Cricetulus griseus: one gene and its partner. The protein of the gene in region 1 purifies or fractionates together with the protein of each later gene. This does not show direct contact. Links are inferred from orthologs where the notes say so. Each region holds a gene or a part of one and is shown on either strand. Other genes may lie near its edges. The genes, in order: Erbb3 and Grb2.

The links.
Region 2: the proteins of Erbb3 (region 1) and Grb2 purify together in Homo sapiens (affinity purification with mass spectrometry; 3 studies listed by BioGRID and IntAct, with this or other methods). This does not show direct contact. The link is inferred for Cricetulus griseus from reciprocal best matches to the Homo sapiens genes ERBB3 and GRB2.

The regions. Positions count from the first base shown.
Region 1 is NW_023276806.1:129,326,915-129,330,730, forward strand, and holds part of Erbb3 (receptor tyrosine-protein kinase erbB-3), read left to right. Parts: intron 1-482; coding exon 483-556; intron 557-1,064; coding exon 1,065-1,155; intron 1,156-1,527; coding exon 1,528-1,733; intron 1,734-1,914; coding exon 1,915-2,047; intron 2,048-2,694; coding exon 2,695-2,785; intron 2,786-2,956; coding exon 2,957-3,111; intron 3,112-3,816. UniProt on the Homo sapiens protein: Tyrosine-protein kinase that plays an essential role as cell surface receptor for neuregulins.
Region 2 is NC_048600.1:128,239,899-128,242,888, reverse strand, and holds the end of Grb2 (growth factor receptor-bound protein 2), read left to right. Parts: coding exon 1-122; intron 123-632; coding exon 633-818; 3' UTR 819-2,421; downstream 2,422-2,990. UniProt on the Homo sapiens protein: Non-enzymatic adapter protein that plays a pivotal role in precisely regulated signaling cascades from cell surface receptors to cellular responses, including signaling transduction and gene expression.

The DNA of each region.
Region 1 (3,816 bases):
ATTGTAGGCGTGTGCTTTCACCTTTGCCCTGGTTTGTTTATTTTTTTTTTTTTATGCTGTATGGGTGTTTTGCCTCTATATATGTCTGTGCACCGTGTGCATGCAGTGCCCGAGATGACCAGAAGAGGGCGTCTAATTCTATGGAGCTGGAGTTACAGACAGTTGTGAGCAGCCCTGGGCCATTTCTTTTTTTTTTTTTTTTGGCGAGAGATGCTCCGGCCGCATGTATTTGTTTGTGTTTCCCACACCACCAGCACCTCTCCAAGGAGTTCTGTTTCCTTAGGATGAAGACTATGATTTAGGAGCCAAGAGGCTGGGTTATAATACCACAGCTTGCTTAGCATATTTAAAGCCCTGGGTTTGATCCCCGGCACAGCAGGGAAAAATGACATCTGGAAACTGTGTTTTGAGGTGTGATGTGTTTATTACCACTGAGTCATGCATGCCTCTTCTTTGTTGAAAAGTTTTCACTATTCCCCCAGAGACCCCTGGCACAAGATCCCTGCGCTGGACCCAGAGAAGCTCAATGTTTTCAGGACGGTCCGGGAGATCACAGGTGAGGAAGATCAAAGACTTCCTTTGCTGGAAGGAGCAGATGACCCACCGACATGCATTATAGTTAAACCACTTAAGAGAAGTCACACTCGAGGACTGGAGAGGTGGCTCAGAGGTCCTGAGTTCAATTCCCAGCAACGATATGGTGGCTCACAACCATCTGTAAGGAGATGTGGTGCCCTCTTCTGGCATGCAGGCATACATGCAGGCAGAATGCTGTATATAAATAATAATAAAAAAAAAGTTACACTCTTCTGGACAGAAGTGGCGCACGCCTTTAACCCCAGCACTCGGGAGGCACAGGCAGATGGATCTCTTTGAGTTTGAGTCCAGCCTGGTCTTCAGAGAGAGTTCCATACAGCCTTCAAAACAATACAGAGAAACCCTGTCTCGAAAAAAAAAAAGGAAAGAAAAAAAAAAGTCACACTCCAAGGCACAGTGGGACAGTGACAGGGAACCTGAGGGCAGGAGAAGACTCCCTGCTTATATGCCTCTCTCCAACCCCTCAGGGTACCTAAACATCCAGTCCTGGCCTCCTCACATGCACAACTTCAGTGTGTTTTCCAACCTGACAACCATCGGGGGCAGAAGCCTCTACAAGTGAGTAAGGTGGAGGTGATATCTTCTCCAGACATTGCGATGGGCGTCTCCTTATGAAACACAGCGCGTCTCCCAACCAACAGCCCCCAGTAGTCTGCTAACACAATGGGGGGGGGCAAATGTGGGGTTGTAACCTTAACATTGCAGAGGCTGACCCAGGAGGGTCACAGCAAGTTCAAGACCAGCTTGGGCTGCATAGTGAATTCCTGACCTGCCTCAGAGATGTAGTAAGATCTGTCTCAGAAAACAATCCCGCCAAAAGAGGGAATCCCTCTCCATGGCTCTAACTTAGCCTGGAGCAAATTTGTTGAGTGGAAATAAATCCCACTTTCCCTTTATAGTCTGCCTTCTAATTCTGCCTCCTTATTCCAGCCGGGGCTTCTCCTTGTTGATCATGAAGAACCTGAATGTCACATCCCTGGGCCTCCGGTCCCTGAAGGAAATTAGTGCTGGGCGTGTCTACATAAGTGCCAATCAGCAGCTCTGCTACCACCATTCTCTGAACTGGACAAGACTGCTCCGGGGGCCTTCGGATGACAGACTTGACATCAAGTATAATCGGTCTCCGAGAGAATGTGGTGAGAGGAAGGGCCTACCAGGAGTAAGAACTGGTGGTTGGGGAGGTGAGACCCTCAAAGTGGAGTAGGCTTGAGGGATGGAGCCAGTAAGGACGTGGGACGTGGCAGCAATGAAGAACTGTTCAGAAGAAGGCTTCCTGGGAGTCCTGAGTCTTTTCTTAACCTGTCTGTTCTTTTCCAGAGGCAGAGGGTAAAGTGTGTGACCCACTGTGCTCCTCCGGGGGATGCTGGGGCCCAGGCCCTGGCCAGTGCTTGTCTTGTCGAAACTACAGCCGGGAAGGTGTCTGTGTGACTCACTGCAACTTCCTGAAAGGGTACAGTGTGGAGGATGCCAAGAGGGTGGAGTAAGGCCCAGGGATGGATGGAGGAGTTCAGGCGCTAATGAACTGTGATTTTCACTCTCCCTTCCCCCCCTCCTCCCACCCCCCACTCACTCTGTAGCCCAGACGGGCCTTAAATCCTTCTGTCTAAACCTTCCAAATGCTGGGATTACAGCTATGAGCCACCGTGTCTGGCTCGATCGAAGGGAGCAAGGGAGTGAGGGAGTGGGGGCAGGGAGAGACAGACAGACAGGACCTTATAGTCTTGGCCTGGAACTTGCTATGCAGGACCAGACAGGACTCAGAGATCTTCCTGCTTCTGCTTCCTGAGCGCTGAGGTTAAAGGTGTGCATGACCACATCTGGTCCTCTATTTCTTTCTTGTTTGCTTGCCTGCCTGCTAGCTTTTGTTTTTATACAGGGTCTCACTCTGTAATCCAGGCAGGCCTTGAACTCATGGAAATCTTCCTGCCTTAGCTTCCAAAGTTCTGGGATTACAGATGTGAGCCACCACCCCTGGCTTTGTAGGCAGCTTTCTGCTTGTGTCTTGGTGAGCATGAAGCAGAAAGCCCTTATTACAGAATAAGGGCATGAAGGTCAGAACTTTGGAAGTGACCTCCCTCTGTCTGTCCCCCACTGCAGGGAGCCTCGGGAGTTTGCTCATGAGGGTGAATGTTTCTCCTGCCACCCAGAATGCCTTCCCATGGAGGGCACCAGCACGTGCAATGGCTCGGTACAGTAGCAGCCTTGGGATCTGTGAGGGAGATGGGCAATGTCTACAGAATGATATGGCCAAATTCCCAGGGGAGCCTGAGAACCCTGGGATCTGTACATGAGAATCCTGAAGGGATAAAGGCTGGAATTAATACTGAGATCTCATTCTCCACAATCCTCTTCTACTCAGGGCTCTGAGGCTTGTGCTCAATGTACCCATTTCCGTGATGGGCCCCACTGTGTCAACAGCTGCCCCCATGGAATCCTAGGTGCCAAGGGTCCAATCTACAAGTACCCAGATGCTCAGAATGAATGTCGGCCCTGCCATGAGAACTGCACTCAGGGGTGAGTGATGGGATGAAAAGGAGGTGGGGGAGTGGGGACATTTAATTAGGATGAGGGGAGAAGCAAGAAGAGAGGTTCAGCTACTTAAGACTCACTTCCAGGGCTGGAGAGATGGCTCAGTGGTTAAGAACACTAGCTGGTCTTCCAGAGCTACTGAGTTCAATTCCTAGCAACCACATGATGGCTCACAACCATCTGTAGTGAGATCTGGTGCCTTCTTCTGGCAGGCATATATGCAGGCAGGACACTATATATATAATAAATAAATAAATCTAAAAAAAATTCACTTCCAGCTACAGAGTAAAGGACTGGAGGAAGAGAAACTCACAGCACGAAAGTAGACCACCGTTAGGGGAAGCTAGAATAAGCTCGGGAGTTTAATTCAAGAAAAATTGTAGTGAGCCAGAGATGGGGAATGAGATACTCAAGAGGGGTGGGAGTGGAGTCTCCTCTGTTTAGGAGCTCAGTTTGGGGCTCCCGGTGCCACAATAGGTTTGTTCTGAAAGAAGCTTTTATATGTAGAGGTTCTTGGACCTGAGTCTCTATTGTCTCTTAAAAAATTACTTTTAGGGCTGGAGAGATGGCTCAGAGGTTAAGAGCACTGACTGTTCTTCCAGAGGTCCTGAGTTCAATTCCCAGCAACCACATGGTGGCTCACAACCACCTTGAATGAGATCTGGTGCCCTCTGCCGGCATGCAGGCAGA
Region 2 (2,990 bases), on another chromosome or scaffold:
GGAAGTACTTCCTGTGGGTGGTGAAATTTAACTCTTTGAATGAACTGGTGGACTACCACAGATCCACGTCAGTGTCCAGGAACCAGCAGATATTCCTGCGGGACATAGAGCAGGTGCCACAGGTAAGCCAGGGCCTCCGCAGCACCACTCTGTGCACCAGGCTGCCTTCATCCACACTGAGGATCTGCAGTTGTCAGTCAGGTAGTTTTGCCACCAGGGAGAAGTGCTTCCAGACCCGGGTGGGCTGTCTGCTCGAACCCCTGTCCTTTGCTTAATTACAAGCAGGGGTTTCAGTCAGAACTGCCTTTTGACTTGTAGGACCTAAGTGACTGGAACACAGACATTTTTACACCTGTTAGCAGAGCTCTGGTGCGCACAGCCTATGTTGTTGCCGCCCCCACTAGTTTAATAGGCCCATTGGCCATCGTCAGTGACATAGGTGTTTGTACCCGAGTGGGTTTTGGATATCAGTAAAGGATTACTCTGAACCCAGCTAGGATTGAGGGATGGTGGGATGGAGGAAGTTAGAGGGAGGCTGCCTTGGGAGTGGGTGGACAGTGAGCAGTGGCTGACAAGGCAGCTGGCAGCATGAGGAATGAACGCCGTTCTCGTCCTCTGCTTGTCTTTTGCAGCAGCCAACGTATGTCCAGGCACTGTTTGACTTTGACCCCCAGGAAGACGGTGAGCTGGGCTTTCGCAGAGGAGACTTCATCCATGTCATGGATAACTCAGATCCCAACTGGTGGAAGGGGGCCTGCCATGGGCAGACCGGCATGTTTCCCCGCAATTACGTCACCCCAGTGAACCGGAACGTCTAAGAAGCAGAAGAGATTATTTAAAGAAAGTGAAAAGTTGAGACCATTCACAAGAATTGCACCCACATGCTGCCTGTCACAGCTTGTGAGGGAGTGCAGAACATCTGGCTGGGTCCTACTGGTGACCCTCTCACTTAGGTTGAAACTTTGGGGGGTGGGAAGGGGTGTTTGATTTCATAATGCCAAAACTTAACCTATTGAATTGAATTACAGTTTTTATTACAGAATCTCACTGCTGCTCCTGTTCCCCTCCTATCTCCTTTTCTCATCCTTTCTTTCCTGTCCTTCAGTGCATGACGTTTGAGGCCACGTATAGTCCCAGCTGATGCCAATACTAAAAGAAACCAAGTGGGCTGGTACTTTCTCTATGCAAAATGTCTGTGGAGATGAATGGACTAAAAGAGCTATATTCTTCACACACAAGGGGCGGCCAGGGCACCTGGGGCCCGTGAATGGGCTTCTGCCAGAGATGCCTGAGGGCATCTGCCTCCAGCCCAAGCCTGGAGCATCCCGTCAAGGTTGGACTTTGTAGGGGAAGGAGGCACGCCACCCACCTCTGGTCCCCGAGTCACTGCAGACCTGCGCCTCCTCCCACTGTCTCCCCGTCAGGTGTTGCTCAAATGTTGTTTTTCATAGTGCCTTTTTTCTTATTTCAAGGGTGTTTTATGAGTGGTGTTTTTACTTTTTTTTATATAAGTTAAAGACAGTCCAGAGCTTTTCCTATCCTGTATAATATTTTCCTCTCAGGGCAGGGGAAACAGGATAGAGAAAGGAAACAGGAGAAGCAGAGCGTGGTATTGCCTGTCTGGAGGGGCCAGAGGTCTTGGAAGACTCTGCTCCCTGGCTGTGGTCTGCCCTTTCCATGCCTGGAGCCAGTGAGTGTCAAACACAGAAGACAGGGGCAGGTGGCAGCCAAGCTGTCCTTCCTCCCCTGTCACAGGCCTGCACTCGGGTGGGAGCTGAGAGTATGGCTTTTCGTTGTCCTTGCTCTTAGAATTAGGTCCTTGCTCTCAATTGTGTATTTTCCAACCTGCCCAAGAGCGCAGATAGCAGGGTTGGGGCTTGGTGTGTTCACAGCTGTTCTGCTGCCGCATCCCATGAAGCTGTGTGAGGTGGGAAAGAGCACAACCCATGCAAAGAAAGCTCTTTGTCTGTCTCCTGTGAGCTTCCAGTCCTCTGTACACCAATCTCTGCACCTAGCCTCCTTCCCACAGCAAAACAAGGCTCCTCCTAGTCTCCCTTGGAGTTGGCAGTGTCCTTGGGCTGCTGGGCTCTTCGGGGTGGGGTCTCCCCTGGACTCTGTTGGGAGATGGACTCAGCCCTGCCCTGGGGGCGGCCTTCCAAATGGAGCTGTCCCTGCCCTCCTGGTTTTGCTTCCTCTTTCCCTGCTGATGATAAAATGAAATAATGAGTTACACCTGGGCCATTTGATTGTTTTATTTTGGAATTGGTGTATATCATGAAGCCTTGCTGAACTAAGTTTTGTGTGTATATATTTAAAGATCAGTGTTTAAATAAAAAGACCTATGTACTTACTCCCTTAACTTCTGCGAATAGCGATTTGGTAGGTAGTGATTAACTGTGAATAAACATACAATGAATTCTTCTCAGTGCATCTTCTTTTCTCCCTGATGACGTCTTTATATTCTAGACAGGGTCTCTCACTGTTGCCCTGCCTGACCTGGAATTCACAGTGTTCCACCTACCTCTGCCTCACGGATGCTGGGATTAAACACAGGCTGGTACATCTAGCCCCTGTGGCCCCAGAACAAGTGATTAGTTCATCATTTGGAAATTGGTTTAGATCAAGAGCTGGGCTTACAAGGCTCCTCCCGATCTCAGAGGAAGTAGCTGAGACCCCTTGACTATGACTGCTGCTTCTAGGGTGAGACAAGGCTCTTAAAGCAAGGGTTAATAGTTGAACAAAAGAGAAATGACTTTGAGCAAACAACCTCATTGTGGTATCACAGCTAGGGAGTTTCCGGGTGCCACCCCTCCCCTGCAGTGAGTTAATAAGCAAGAGGGCGGTGCTCCTGTCCCCTCTGCTGGCTCTGGTTCCATGCAGACTACCCTGAAGCTAAGCAGAAGTTCCCAACATGAGGTCATCAGAGTAAAAGGCAGAAACTGACATTGCACCCCATTTATGTCCTTGATCAGTTTGACCCCTTCCTGGTT